Linked DNA regions of Daphnia pulex. The protein of the gene in region 1 interacts with the protein of each later gene in a biochemical or structural test. Links are inferred from orthologs where the notes say so. Each region holds a gene or a part of one and is shown on either strand. Other genes may lie near its edges.

The links.
Region 2: the proteins of mitogen-activated protein kinase kinase kinase 4-like (region 1) and dual specificity mitogen-activated protein kinase kinase 4-like form a complex in vitro, tested with the Homo sapiens proteins (2 studies listed by BioGRID, with this or other methods). The link is inferred for Daphnia pulex from reciprocal best matches to the Homo sapiens genes MAP3K4 and MAP2K4.

The regions. Positions count from the first base shown.
Region 1 is NC_060017.1:6,264,609-6,272,324, forward strand, and holds the end of mitogen-activated protein kinase kinase kinase 4-like, read right to left. Parts: intron 7,662-7,716; coding exon 7,521-7,661; intron 7,457-7,520; coding exon 7,274-7,456; intron 7,225-7,273; exon of another isoform or gene 7,044-7,224; coding exon of another isoform or gene 6,755-7,043; intron 6,694-6,754; coding exon of another isoform or gene 6,434-6,693; intron 6,376-6,433; coding exon of another isoform or gene 6,244-6,375; intron 6,186-6,243; coding exon of another isoform or gene 6,037-6,185; intron 5,971-6,036; coding exon of another isoform or gene 5,837-5,970; intron 5,769-5,836; coding exon of another isoform or gene 5,630-5,768; intron 5,559-5,629; coding exon of another isoform or gene 5,341-5,558; intron 5,276-5,340; coding exon of another isoform or gene 5,142-5,275; intron 5,078-5,141; coding exon of another isoform or gene 4,950-5,077; intron 4,871-4,949; coding exon of another isoform or gene 4,642-4,870; exon of another isoform or gene 4,536-4,641; intron 4,167-4,535; coding exon 3,810-4,166; intron 3,737-3,809; coding exon 3,614-3,736; intron 3,545-3,613; coding exon 3,438-3,544; intron 3,374-3,437; coding exon 3,194-3,373; intron 3,134-3,193; coding exon 3,062-3,133; 3' UTR 2,856-3,061; downstream 1-2,855. Other genes in the region: fibrinogen C domain-containing protein 1-like, read left to right, coding at 4,642-4,870, 4,950-5,077, 5,142-5,275, 5,341-5,558, 5,630-5,768, 5,837-5,970, 6,037-6,185, 6,244-6,375 and 2 more. UniProt on the Homo sapiens protein: Component of a protein kinase signal transduction cascade. Activates the CSBP2, P38 and JNK MAPK pathways, but not the ERK pathway. Specifically phosphorylates and activates MAP2K4 and MAP2K6.
Region 2 is NC_060023.1:2,020,940-2,028,755, reverse strand, and holds the start of dual specificity mitogen-activated protein kinase kinase 4-like, read left to right. Parts: upstream 1-4,300; 5' UTR 4,301-6,413; coding exon 6,414-6,609; intron 6,610-6,731; coding exon 6,732-6,834; intron 6,835-6,895; coding exon 6,896-6,959; intron 6,960-7,032; coding exon 7,033-7,146; intron 7,147-7,212; coding exon 7,213-7,332; intron 7,333-7,407; coding exon 7,408-7,527; intron 7,528-7,602; coding exon 7,603-7,782; intron 7,783-7,816. Other genes in the region: uncharacterized protein LOC124197299, read left to right, coding at 1-590, 677-799, 904-1,090, 1,161-1,235, 1,312-1,473, 1,713-1,763, 2,247-2,335, 2,410-2,606 and 4 more. UniProt on the Homo sapiens protein: Dual specificity protein kinase which acts as an essential component of the MAP kinase signal transduction pathway. Essential component of the stress-activated protein kinase/c-Jun N-terminal kinase (SAP/JNK) signaling pathway.

The DNA.
Region 1 (7,716 bases):
CACAATAATTGTATATCTATTATCATATTAATAGTAAATAAATAAAATGTACTGTATAAAAAATGTGTAGACTATATTTATTCTAGAACACTTGCAAAATAAAAAATTCATTAAACAGAGCGTCCGGTTCAAGACAATTTTTTTTTGTGCGAGGCTTTTTAGCAAGCAATCCGCCACCCAATTTGACAAAAAGTGATTTGTTTGTTTTCACGGAAATTGCGTCAGACGGTTAAAAAATTTCTAATTCAAAAATCTCATGTAGAAATTTGCATCTAGTCTATTGGTGCAAATTGCGATTCTTTAAGCTTGATTATTTTAGGTGATGTGTTAAAAGCAATTGTGGGTCGCTAAACAATTGAACTAATCCACTTTTTCTGAATATTTTGGTTTTAGATCACAAAAAAGTCTAAAAACAACAGTGATCTAAAACCAAAATATTCAGAAAAAGTGGATTAGTTCAATTGTTTAGCTACCCACAATTGCTTTTAACACATCACCTAAATTAATCAAGCTTAAAGAATCGCAATTTGCACCAATAGACTAGATGCAAATTTCTACATGAGATTGTTGAATTAGAAATTTTGTAACCGTCTGACGAAATTTCCGTGAAAACAGACTATCACTTTTAGTCAAATTGGGTGGTGGATTGCTCGCTAAAACTCGCACATGCAGTGTCGGCGTAGATCCAGGGAGATTACCTGGAAATGGAAGAGGAGAGAAGAGTGCGAGGCAAGTTTTACTGGGGAGCGATTAGTCATACTAGGCTTCCGGGTTAGACTCATGACCCTCTAAAAGTTTTCGTCGGATCATGCGCCTTCCAAGTCCCCGTTCGACCAGAGCCCTCCCCTCCTCCTGGTTTCACAGCGGGTGAGTGACCACCGGCGGGCGTTGGTTAGTGGTTAGTTAGGGAAACGGGGCCACAGAAAAGAAGGGAGCCCAGATATGCACTTGTAATTTATCTAACAACTAAACAATTTAGTGGTCTTGAATAACAGCATTCTCTCGTCAGTTTCACCATCCAATGGGTCAGTCTATGGAAAGGTGGCGACGGATTCAACTGAAAGGAAATTTAAGTAAGATTTTATCAATAACGAGGCGTAGAGAAACAAGTCAACAAAAAACAATGGAGATGAGCACTTCAAAAATATTGAATCAAATCAGCAAATCACGAATATGCACTAATTGTTGTCTTATGCCATATCCTATAGTTCAGGAAAAATCATTCTTTTGGGCGTCTAATAAGTACTAAATGAAGTACTAACTCCTTTAAAATCCAAAAGTAGACAAGCAAATTACCAAAGTCTAACAAGTGAGCTTTGTGGCTTACGGTCAGTTGTCACACAAAATTATCTAACATTAACTGCCGAAAACTGAAAATGAAAAGGATCCCTGCTCTAGCTAAATCAAGACATACTACTAAAGTAAGAAAAAACATAACAAACAAAAACAGGTAATAATAAACCTAATACTCACGCAATACTGCTACATTATCATAACCACAGTTATTTATTTTAAGGTGTTATTCTCTGGAAAGAATGTTTTCCAAAATTCTGATCATGATCAAAAGAAGAAGTAAAAGGAATTAGTATAAACTTTATAGTACAACTTACAGTAAAACTTACACCACGAATACACAAATATGAAGAGAATTCCAGTTGGATATTTTGCATTTGTTTCAATCATTATTCTCTTTCTTTGCAATTGAAGAACAGCCTGGATCATGCTATTTTCCTTTCACAAGGATCTCACTGTTTCAAAAATTCAGACATAAGAATTGATGAGTGTGAATTGCAAGTCAAGGAAATAAAAAATACTAATTGTTCAATCAACTACGCAGAATACCTATAATGTTGGTTTCACACTTAATCTGCTTTACCACATTACATTATGCTATTTAACAAACTTTTTGAAATGTTTAATAGTTCACTTTATACTGCATCGAAACGTGAAAAACAGCAACTAACCGTGCACTAACCATGGCAGTCATTGTTGTTATTAAACTGCAGTGGCACCTGGTGGCCAGGACTTTCCATTGATAGGAAAAGGGTGTGAAGAAGGTAGGGGCTAAAGGGCTAGTCTATGCCCCAGAATTGAAAACAAATCTGGCCGCCAGATGTCCTCAGTGTCCAAGCCATAACATTGTCACTTTGTCAGGCTGTCAGCTTGTTAGCGGTTTTTGCGGTTGTTGATCTGCGTTAGCAATAGCCAATAGCAAGCAAAGGGCTTTTTGTGATTTTTTTTCATTAAAAAAAAATCAAAACAGATATTAAAACAATAAACGACAAATATCCTTTTCATTAAGGACTTAAGGTTTAAATTAAAATACCTAACCTGTGTGTGCTTATAAACAGCATCACACTTGGTCCCTGAATTTCGAATTTTTAAAAACAAAGCTAACACGTACAATAACACTGCGCCACTGCTTGTCAACAACCTTCAATAGATCGAGTTGCTATAAGCAACACGAATGAAGTTTAGGTATGTTACCCGGAAGTTTTCTTTACCTTGCGTGGTGCCGTTTGCGACCTAGGCGTCGTGGACGATGGCATCAGGAGTGGCAGATGCACTTAGGAATAATGCTATGCCGCGTTCAACACGAGGTATTTCTCTTCTGACACCTCGCTCACCTATTCGACTGCTCGTTTTCAGTGGAACGAAACCTTTGATTGGCTGTCATCAGGTAGGAATCACTGTTTCTTTCAAATTACCCGAAGCCGAAGGATGTCTGATTTAGTGATTTGTCCGAGTGACTTTGGTGGTTTTTACATTAACAATTTAAGGGTATATGAATGTGAGATTTGCTTATTAAAAATCCAATTTCATAAGTTTTAAAAAGGGAAAAAATGTGAAATATATATTTTTAAAATTCATTATGTAATATTACCTATATTATTATCCTATCAAATACGTAATGCTACTATTTTAACGGGGGAAATCGTTCAATCAAACGAATATTATTTTATATACGAGAAGTATAATAATAGGAGGAATGTATGTATAATAGACAATACAAGGAACTAAGTAGTTTACAAAATCACAACTTTTTTAAACAGTTGCACGGCTAATGTTTCGATAAACTAGAAACCGGATGACGAATCACTGCAGAGTATAAAGGGTCGTCTTCCTGATAGACCTAATGATCACCAGAAAGGTCAAAAATGATTCTGACGATGAATGACTAAAAATGACTTACTTTTAGAAAATTGTGTTCAAGCAGATTAGCTGCGCTTTCTCTTTGTTTCGGATCATGTTGAAGAAGATGAGATAGAAACGCTTGGCCCTCTTCACTGAGCGTAAGTGGCGTAGGAGGTACTTCTCCCATCCCAACTTTGAACATAATAGCGTAATTTGATTCGAGTTCATACCAAGGCCTCTATAATGTGCAAAAGGAAAAACATTTTATGAGTTTTCCAAACACTCTCGCTGATTTCGATTACTTTTCCTGTTGCCATTTCTATCACTACACAACCCACACTCCAGATGTCGGCCGCGCGTCCGTGGCCCTCAGTCATCGTATGCATAAAAACCTCCGGAGCCATGAATGCTAATAAATTTGGATTAAAATTTAATTATTATTTTTTTGTTGTTGATATGAAAATGAAAATTCTTTTACCTTGAGTGCCAACAAAACCTTGCAGTTCTCCAAACATGGTCGTTTGCGATTTGATTTTAGCGGCACAACCAAAATCACCTAATTTTAAACAATTGCCAACGTCGGTAAGAAAAATGTTGGCACCTGAAACAAGTAATTTACATAAAATAAGAGTTCACGTTCCAGTTTATCACGGCGAATGTTCTCAATTACATACCCTTAATGTCTCTATGCACGATTCCATTTTCGTGTAAGACAGTGACGGCTTCGAGAAGTTGTCGAGTGAAACGTCGAATGAGTTCTTCGGGTAGACCTGTCTCAGTTGAAGCAACTAAATGCTCCAGTGTTCCTTCCGGACAGAATTCCATAAATATGATCATTTCTTCTCGATGGATCTCCAAACCGTAGTAACGCACGAGATGCGGGTGATGGATGCCTTCAAAGATGTGCAATTCATCCGCTACACTGCGAATGGTCCGATGATCGTTGGGCTGTAATGCAATCTCTTTCATGGCCATCAATTCGCCAGTTTTATTGTTGACAGCTACGTAAACTTTGCCAAAACGTCCTTGTCCTGTGAAAACCCATCAGAAAAAAAATATATAGCTATTGAAATTCTTCTAACTTGAATTTGAAGGAGATCTCTAGCTTAACGCGTTGGTAAATATAGCTTCTCTTCCACGGAGTGGAGAGCAACTGTCAGGGTGACGCAAATAGATAAATGGACATTTTCAATTTCGGTTCCCTCTGCCGCCTACAAGCTAACGTCTCCGTTTGTTGTTTAGGCCCATTCTCATTTTGAAAATGAGTATAAATAAATAACGTAAACATCCGGCGTTGCTGGTTGGGTCCTTGGTTGCTAGACGGCGTGCATGCGCTAGACAACCTTCGATCTGGCACCGACCGTCTTATATACAAAATACTGGAAATAGCACGCCAGACAGGCACAAGTCAAAACATTCGAGGCGTGGAAACTCGCCACCGAAACCAGCAGATAGAAACTCGAAACTGGAAAAGGGGCGATTAGTTTGGATACGGCCGTCCCGAAGATGGGTCGCTCCTCTGCTGCGCTGGCACGTCGCACCAGCAGCGGAGCAATACACTTGGCTTTGGTATTGTATCTGTTAAGTGTTCACTTCATCGGGATCGAAGCTCAACATGAAGATTCAGGGACCAGTTCTGAAGAGAGTCGAGCTGACGACCCGATAGGTCAAGAATCGGATACAAGTGAAATGCGGAGGCCGCGGCCTTTCAACTTGATCGCCCCACGGCCGGCTTGTGAGTTCCAGAATAAGCACGTAACATTTTTCAAATAACCCAAACATAATTGTATAAAAATGCTACAACTGTTTTCCAGCTAACGTAGTAGGAGTTTCAACTACTCCCCCAAGTCCAACATTAGCGGGAGGTATTCTCAACGATGTTGAACACGAACCAGGATTGGTTTGGCCTACGGTGACAATACCGGCAGCCACAACCCCGTCGGTATATTCGTTAGAATGTGTTATCCCTTAAAAATCAAGCTAACTGAGTATTGAATGGTTGTCAGACTTCGGATGAGAGCGGACCAACCTTGACCAGCGGTCGTCTCATGGCTCACCTTCAGCGAATCACAGAGAGGCTGTCATCGATGGAATCGCTACAAATTCAGACACTGCGCAAACTAGAGGGAATTGACTACCGGTCAGTCCTTTGCATCTAATAAGATCCATCAAAACCAATAACAGTTTTTTTTTATCTTCAATTAGTTTAACGCGTGTGGAAGTACAAATGCAAGAACGCGGAGACTCGGTGCGCAACCTGGCCGCCGACACTTCGAGGCGGCTGCAACAGTTAGAAAGCGATGTTGGACGAATTGAAACTCTACTAGATGTGGTGCGAGACGAGTCAGTTGCTATTCGTACCGGTCAGGCTGAGCTCAAACACATCATAACACAATCTGGTGGAGCCCAAGCACCGGCAAGAAGTAAAAAGACAAAAAAAAATCGCTACTTTGAATTATTAAATTTTGTTTAAATAACCCTATGTAACTAACAGTGACGGAAAGTGACGTTCCAGCTCCCCGTCTTCAAGTACTCTTGGCTGGAATGAACAGTCTTAGAACGACAACAAATAACCTACGGGATGAACTGTTACTTATCAGCAAGAACGTCAGTGTTATGGCCAACCTGACCAAGTAATTGTTTTAGAATAGCGAACAAAAAAGAAGCAGAAGCGACTGACATTCAATTGAATTTCTGTTAGAATTGTCGAAAAACGGAGCGATGATTTCGCTACAAAACAAGATCTGCATCGTGGAATTACTGCACTAAAGAGCCAAGATTCCACACCGGCCAGGACTCTTTCACATTTCATACAACCTGGCGCTTGTCCTTCCGGTATATTAAACTGATTTACTATTGCCAGACACTAATAATTAAGGTCATTTATTAACCTCTCCACAGAACGACCAAGTTTACCACGTGATTGTCACGATGCGCTTAATAAAGGTGGGCGCCACCTTATGTCGGGAATCCAACGGATTCAACCATTATCTTCATCTGCACCCTTTTTTGTTCAGTGTGACATGGAAACTCGCGGAGGAGGATGGACGGTATGGCTATTGATCATTAACAGTTATAATAATTTCTTAATATCTGCTTGTCTAATAGGTTATTCAAAATCGCTTTGATGGTTCAATTAATTTTCTACGGGGTTGGAATGATTACAAACAAGGATTTGGCAATATGGCCACCGAATTCTGGCTGGGTCTCGAAAAAATCCACATGATTACGAATCAAGGAGTGAGATTAAATTGCAAATTTGGGGAGTCTGTTCATTTCATTAGCGATTTTCTTTCAGGTCTACGAGCTTTTAATCGAACTGACAGATTTCGGTCTGAATCAAGCCACTGCCCACTACACCGCTTTTGCTATCGGGTCTGATGCTGAAGGTTACGACATTCGCCTACTGGGAACCTACGAGGGTGACGCGGGTGATTCCCTCTCGTACCATACATCCATGAAGTTCTCTACCGCAGACAACGATCAGGATCAATGGTTAGACGGAAACTGTGCTCGCGATCACACTGGAGGTTGGTGGTATCGAGGATGCGATACAAGGTATTCTTCGTCTTATATGAAACAAATATTGGTTTGTTAATTCTCCTGTTTGTTTTTTCAGCAACTTAAACGGGCAATATCTGAACGGCCCCGTACCTCAAGAATTTGAATACAAGGGGATGTACTGGTACGATTACCAGGGGCCTCAATACTCTTTAATGAAGTCTAGAATTATGATTCGACCCTTTTTCAATGCGGTTGTGCTAAGTGCACAACCGGGCGGAACTACAGTTAAGCCTCGATCTCCACAAGTACCGGCTCCACCCGGTAACCAGGGACGACCTACTTTCGGTCCAAAGTTACCGAATCAACAAAGCCAGAAGCCAAAGAAGAAAAAGGAGATGGAGTGATTGGGGGAAAAATATACATATATATATCTGACGCAGAAACAGAAGCTTTACAATTAACTGCCAACCGGCTGGCCCAGGTGGACAACGTGAGACGACTATTCTTCCTGGTCTTCCGACTTATAAACCCAACTGGGAAACCCATTTTTGACACTATAATACACAGACGCACCAGTACCAAAAAGGCCAAAACGTGTTTCAATGGGTACTATAATATCAGTAGCTTTTCTTACCTATTTTGACTCCACGCTGCCAAGAAAACTGGACGCTTTTGAGCCGGATGTGCCATTTCGCTTCTTTGGTTTGACGGGCTACGCGACCAATCAATGTAGCCTCCTCCAATGAAGCATCGCGCTGTGATTCAATTAAAAGCACAGAGCGGCAGACACGGTCCTTCCACGGCAAAACATCTCCGGCTACATAATGAATTCGATTACAGGTTGATATTCACGATTCTACCGTAACTCAAAAATCGATTACCAGAATCCCGTCGAGGTAGAGTAGGCAGCGAATTCGAAAGTCGTTCGTCATTGGAACACTGTAGAGACATCTTTCTTGAACTCATCGGGCTTTTCAAAGGAGAAAGAGTTTCTGCTGATAAACTGCTCGGGAAGACGGGCACTACGGAGGAGAAAAAAAGTCGGTTATTAGCATTGAGATTACCTTGGTTAAAAAA
Region 2 (7,816 bases), on another chromosome or scaffold:
GGACTGGAGTCGCGCGATCTGGTGGACGGGCACGGCGCCGGTGCTGCCATCCCGTTGGAGAGAGTGGCCGACTCGCCGGAAGGCGGATCGATCCCCGACGGATCCACCAGCACTTTGCTGATTCATCCGCGGCTCAAGCGGCGCGAGTCGGTGGCCAGGATGACCTGGGACGGACTGGCCTACCTGGCCACGGCCATCGTCCGGCTCAGACCCAACGGACCCGACGAGGAGTCGGTCCGCTCACGCAGCGTGTCCCGGGAGGCCTTTGCGGTCACCGCCTCGGCCGCTTCGTCCTCGCTGCCCGGTGGTCCAGGTGGAAGTGGTGGTGGTGGTGGTCCAGGAGGAGCCAACAACCGGACCGACTCGTCCTCGCGCTCGGCCGGCGGCTCCCTGGGCAATGCCCAGCCCCTGCCGCCGGACGTGACGATGGACACGGGCGGGACGGCCAATCTCGGCTGCGTCGACGTCACCCTGGACGACGAAGTCTTTTTCGACTCGCCGCCGCCCGCCTACGAGGACGTGGTCGACGCTGCTCACATGGGCCCACCGCCGTCCGGCGGGCCAGCCCATCGACGGGAATCGGAGGCCCGGTAAAAATTTTGAAATTGATGACGAAATCCTCTCCAATTTCTTTATCGATTTTGTTATTAATTGGATTTACAAATAAAATTCCCAGGCCGTCCAGGTGGAGGCGGGCCGTTCACGGCAACGGACCCAGCGGTCCGTCGGTGGTGGATCGATTGATGGACAACTCGAATCGGAGGCAGTACGGAATGGGCGTCGTCGGTCGGATGACGAGGTGATTTTTCATTGATTTTTTTGTTCTCCTGGATTATTGTCTGTCGGAATCGACCGGAATAAAAATTTTAAAAATACAAAAATTCAAATGTCCAAAACGAACAGGCGATCGCTGCGCCAGTCGATGACGGAGAGCAACAAACATTTGAAGCGACAGTTGGACTCGTTCGAGGACCACCGTCCCTATTTCACTTACTGGACCTGCACCGTCCAGGTGCTCATCATGTTCATCGCCCTCATCACTTATGGATTGGGACCTATCGGTTTCAATCTGCACCGACGCTCCGGATCGGTTGGTTTTCCCCCCATCTCATCCGTCTGAAATGAAAATTTAAAATTTAATTCCACGAAAAAATTCCCAGGTACTCGTGACCAGTTTATCTCTGCAAGAAGTCGACTATTACGAGCCTTCCAATTTCTACATCGGACCGAGAGCGGTACGTTTTTATTCTTTTTTGTTTTACTTCCCCCAATTACATCCGGAATTTGATTTGATTTTTTAAATTTTTCCAGGCGGATCTGATCCACCTGGGCGCTAAATACAGTCCGTGCATGAAGCCGGACACGCGGATCGGGGCGGACATTGAAGCCACCCGGATGCGTGAACGACAGACGGCCTGCTGCATCCGCAATGATAATTCGGGTTGCGTTCAGACATCCAGGGCCGAGTGTTCGGTAAAAATGAATTTAATTACCGATTTTAAAAAGCTCTTTTTCAAAATTGTTACAAAACATTTTATCATCCGTCATCTTATTTTTACTTTTCATTCAAATTGAATGGTTCAATGGGCCGGGGGGCAGGGCTGGGCAACATTTCCATTCGTTTGTTGAAAAATGGGACGGAATTAATTTTAATGATATTAAGATTTGTTGTTTTCGAGTGAGTTACTAATCGCAAGTCTCCGACGAAACAGTCTCTTCCCTCTGTGCCGCCTTATCACAACACGGAGCGCGGAATTGGCACGGTACAACAACCACAACAACACAAACACACACAAAACAAATGAACCCAAAACCATTTCATTTTTGTTTATTTTAAATTCAAACCAACCGAAATTCCTTGGAATTTAATTTTTTTCAGTTTTTCAACCTCCAATCGACCGAGTTCGTTCGTTTTAAAAATTTTATTTAGTTCCTTCCGCATCGCCGTCGTCTGTATATATCTACTCCCGTCAAAACACACACACAATTTTTATTTTAAAAATTTTATTTCAACCGAGAAACATCCCGTTTAGCTTGATTGGTGTCGTCTGTGTCTTAAAAAAAGATTTGATACAAAAATCTTGTTCAGTTTCATCCATTTTTATTTTTATGGGTTTCATTATTTCCATCCATTTCCTTCCTGTTTGTTTGTTTCTTTTAAAATCCGTTTCTTGTTAAAACTTTTCAATATTTTATTCCATGTTCTCTTTTGTTTTCTTCTTTCCTCCATGGACAAAACCATCCAGGATTTGACTTCGACTTGGAAAAAGTGGAATGTCGTTCAGTCTGGACCCGGTGGGCGGATATCCGGCTCCGTTTGCGGCCAGGATCCAAAGTAATATATTTTGTTTTAATTGATTATTTGAATAAAATTAATAAATTTTTGTTTGTTTTTTTTCCTCCCTTTAGTTTTTGTATAGAACCAGCGTCAGTGGCGCCGTTCGAATGGCCGGACGACATCACCAAATGGCCGAAATGCCGCAAAAAACTGCCCGGTTTAGGGGGATCCGGGTCGGAATCAAAGTCGAATGCCAATCAGGTGTTGAAGACGACCGGACAGGCCGATCACATGGTCTGCGAAGTCATCGGACACCCGTGCTGCATTGGTAAAACTGAATTAAAATACCAACCAATTTGAATTTAAAATTCCAATTTTCCGTCCGTCCAATCCCGTCAGGTATTCACGGCGAATGCCGGATCGCCACTCGCGAGTATTGCGACTTTGTCAAAGGCTATTTCCATCAGGAAGCCTCCCTATGCTCTCAGGTAAGATCCGTTTGGTTTTAATTGCCAGCTGGACGTTTTTTAAATTAATTCAAATAAAAATTGAATTTGACAGGTGTCTTGCATGAACGACGTTTGCGGTATGCTGCCTTTCCACACGCCCGACTTTGCCGACCAATTTTACAGACTGTGGACGTCGCTGTTCCTGCACGCCGGCATCCTTCACCTGGCCGTCTCGGTCACCTTCCAGATGATTATCATGCGCGACCTGGAGAAGTTGGCCGGACCCCTGCGCATCGGCATCATCTACCTGGGCTCCGGTGTCGTTGGCAACCTCGCCTCGGCCTTGTTTGTGCCATACAGAGCCGAGGTCCGTCCCCATCTTGCCCGTTCATTTTTGAATGAAATGAATGAATTCAAAATTTACACATTTACCATTTTTTGGGGGGATTATTAGGTGGGTCCGTCCGGTTCGCATTTTGGTTTACTCGCCTGCCTCTGCGTCGAAGTGCTGCACGCCTGGCCGCTACTTCGGACGCCCTGGCGGGCACTCGGCCGGCTCCTCATGACGGTCGCCTTCCTCTTCGTCGCCGGACTTTTGCCCTGGGTCGACAATTTCGCTCACATTTTCGGGTAAATTTCCATTTTGGAATTCAAAATTTAAACAAATTTCATTGAATTTTTGGTGCCGGGCACAGGTTCATTTCGGGCGGACTGCTCTCGTACACTTTCCTGCCGTTCATCACGGTGGGCGTGTACGACCGCCGGCGCAAGTTGGTGCTGATTGGCGTCACGCTGACGCTGGCCGCCATCCTGCTCACCACACTCGTCCTACTCCTCTACGTGTGGCCCATCCAGGATTCCGGCGTCATCCAAACGCTCGGCTACCTCAACTGCGTGCCCATCACGCGCGATTTCTGCGCCGAGCAGAACATCCACTTTAGCAAGCGGGAAGTCAACATCCTCTGAGGAAACCCCCCTTCCCCCCACTCCTCACTCTCTACCCATTCCCCTCCTCCTCCTCCAAAACGGACAAAAAATGTTAAATTTTTTTTTAAATTAATTTTCAAATTCACACGCAAGAAATTTTTGTTGAACGGCCACCGGAAATAGAAAAAATTTGGACGGACATGCCCGTCTCCATCTCGTGTTGCTGTTATACTTTTTAGTGTACGAAAAGAAAAATTCACTGGACACACCTCACACACATGGATACAATGTCACATGGACACACACAGCGCATAATTCTCTTAAATGAAATTGAATTGCAAAAGAAAAAGAAAATGTTCATCGTAGGTCTCTCTCTTTCTCACTTGATTTGTTGATTTGTTAATTTCTCAACGTACGTGACGGTTATAATTAGAACCCCCCTTCATTCCCGAAAATGTTTGTCAATTTCATTTGATTTCTCCCCCCTCCAACTTTGTGCGAGTGCTCGGTGTGTTTCTAATTCTTCTGTCTTGTTGATTGTTTCCCTAAATTTTTTATTTGGAACATTTTCATTCGGAATTTCATTTTTTAGGTCCCCCCTATAAAAACATTTCGGCGCAGGATTTGAAAAATAAAATTTTGAATTCCCTTTGTCCGTGAAATGAACCTGTCGATTCCCCGTTCTCGCCATTTCAGTTGACACTGCAGGAAATTTAAAAAAAGGTGAAGAGAAGAAAAACTCAAAAAAGTGATGAAATTTTTTCTTTCGTTTGAAATTGAATTAATTATGCAGCCCCCCCCCCTCTGGAGTCGATTTGTCAACCGTCTCAAACCAGTAGCTCTCTAATATCTTTTTTTTCGAATTTTTATTGACCCCGGAAAACAATTTTTCTAAGAAAAAAGCAAAAAGAAATGAAAACTAAAATTTGATTTCAATTTTCGTTTCATTATTTTTTTCAATTTTTCTCGTGTGGGTGTACATGTCTGTGTTTCTGTTCAATCCCCCCTTGTAATATCCCCCCCCCCCCCCCCAGCCGTTAAAGATGACTTCATTTCATCCCTTCGCTGATTGTATACAAACACGTTACATTCGTCTTTAAAACAAAAAGAAAGAAAAATCCCTCCTTCCCCTGGTTATCTCTCTCTCAAAAAAAGAACAAACTTGTTTCTTCTGCTCTATCTCTCTCTAGCTCTTAATTCATTTCTCTCTCTATATCTCTCTCTCTCTCCTCTTTATTTCTGTGTGTGCTGAACAACTATTGTCTTGATTTGATCGTTATTCTACAATGAACATTTTGATTTCCCGTTTCAAAGCGAAACGGGAAAGACAAAGAAGAAAAACCCCCAAAAAAAATGATTTTTTTGTCCGTGTGCTGGTGTATACGTTATATACAAAACAAAACCAAAAAAAACAAACAATTATAAGAGATAACTTGAACAAGAACCATTTACGACACCCAATCTATTCGACAGGTTGATTTTCACCAACGTTGAAAAAAAAAATTTTTTCATCCGGCCGGAATTCTTCCGGAATTTTTTTTTCATCCACCCGGAACTCTTCCGGATTTTTTTTTTTTAGATTTTTTTTATTTGAAAAAAAAATCTCGCACGATCAATAATATTACAGCCGGAAGAGTATTAGAGTTTCCAATGTTTGACTGCGGGCGTTGCCTAGCGCTGGACTCTGTGGCGGCAAAAGTAAAGAGCGCCAAATGTAGCGTGATTCGAATAATTGTTATTAGTATTTTTCGGTAAACTTTCCCGCGGGATAAACTTCTTGGATCGAAAAACCCAACGGTAACAACTGAATCGAGTCGATGAATATCGTCGGGATGACGGCTTGATTATTAGATAAGATCCGCCCGTCGGCTGACGTACACGACCTACACTTTATTGGATGAATCCTTATTTATTTTTTTGAAAAGAAACAAAATGTCTGACTCGTGCGTCCTGTTTCGCAAGGTGTACATTCGAGTCACGCATAGTTCAATCTCATGGGCGTCACAGTTTCATTTATTTATCTCAAGTAAGACTTTACGTCATTATTTATTTATCTATTTACGCAACCGCATCGAGTTCGAAATACAATTTTTTTTTTCTTTTTTAAAAGTTAAAAAAATATTCCAACCACAAAAAATGAAGAAAAATAAAATACTAAAATTACTTTAACCTCCCCCAAGGACTTGTCTGCCTTCCAGGGTAAAAACTAAAAAGCGTCTGACAGTTCCAATATTTTTAATGGCTGGTGTATATCACGTGCTCTTTAGTTCCTATCATGAAATAAGATAACAAAAGAATTCCCGAGCTGAAGGATAATTAGATCAACCTCCTCACATTCTCTACTGTGTTTTTTTTAGAGAAATCAAATAGACGAGTAGTAACGTACCTGCGCGCGCATAAATCAAAGAGTGGTTGCCGTAACCGATTCGTTGGAAAGAAATCGATTACTTGACTATCGATAATCTCTGGCCCCACTGACACAAAGTTTTTCCCAACTTCACCATTTCACGAGAGATGGGAAGATCGGCTTAACGTAAATTTTTGTTTCCTTTTTTATCGGTCGTGTGGGCGACACTCGATGGACACACGAGTGGCATTTCTATTTGCTGCACGCCCGTCATCAAAAGGAGAAATCAAACCGAGCTAGTTTTTAGTATTTTTTCGAATGAATGACGTCTTTTGCCGCAGCCCTCTCTCGAGCAATCGCCGCGTAACAAAAAGTTTTTAGGGCTCCCCTTTGGTGTGTGTGTGTGTGGTGCATGTGTGTGTGTGTGTGTTTGTTTGATTTTTCACACGCACTTACCTCACTCACGAAGCCCGAGTTTTTTTTCTTTCCTATTTCGTGTGTGTTGTTTGTGTGTGTGTGTGTATCACCCAGTTTAATCCTGCCGTCAAAGGCAGAGAGTGCAACCGAGTGCAAATCAGGCGCCAACATGTCGACAGAAGAGCAGCAAGGTATTCATTTGCATTTGTGAAATTATTAATTAGCTGTTTTTTTCTCGTGTAAGTGGGGGGTGTGTTGAGGTCCTTTTTTTTGTGGGTTTCTTACGATGATGGATTGGTTTTCTCATTCACAGCGGAGGACAAACGAAGCAGGCTGAGGCCCCTCTCATTCTCTGGATTGCCAACCAAATGTCTTTCGCCCAGCAGTGCAATCGCTCCCATTCACTCTTTTCCAATGTAAGTCTTTGCTCAGTGACAGCATCTCCCCGATTTGTGAAATCTTTACGTTTGTTTGCAGGGAAAAGTGGAAAATAACTGATGTCAACAATTCCCCAGGAAAGCTGCAGATATCCCCTGAATTGGTACGAGATGATGCTCATACTTTAGAGTGACAGCGTAGGTGTTAACAATCACTGTTTTTTCCCATTGTCATAGGTGTATGATTTCACAGCTGAAGACCTGGAAGACATGGGTGAAATTGGTAGAGGAAACTTTGGTAGTGTCAATAAAATGCTCCATATCAAAACAAATACCGTCATGGCTGTCAAGGTACAAATTGAAATTGGTTGCATGGCTCTTGTACTCAACAGCCAACTTTATGTGTTTCCTCTGCAGAGAATCCGTTCCACTGTCGATGAAAAAGAACAGAAACAATTACTGATGGACCTTGAAGTTGTTATGAGAAGCAATAACTGCCCATTTATTGTACTATTTTATGGAGCCCTTTTTACTGAGGTATAAAACATTTAAAAGGTTTTTTTTCTTTCTTTACAAAAAAATAGTTTAACACTTTTGGGGAATGTTTTACAGGGAGACTGTTGGATCTGCATGGAACTAATGGATATTTCTCTGGACAAGTTCTACCGTTTTACCCACCAGCGACTCAAGGAAAAGATTCCTGAATCCATCCTCGGGAAAATGGCCCTTGCAGTAAGCCTCCAATTCAACCTATTTGTTGTGCGATTGATTTATGCATGATGTTTGCTTTTGTCCTTGTGTGCCCAGACTGTCCAGGCCCTAAACTACTTGAAGGAGAACTTGGAGATTATTCATCGTGATGTCAAACCTTCCAACATTCTAATGGACAGGCGCGGAAGCATCAAATTGTGTGACTTTGGCATTTCGGGACAGCTGGTGGACTCGATTGCCAAGACCAGAGATGCTGGCTGCCGACCCTACATGGCTGTAATGAAGCAATTTATATTTATAAACCAACTAG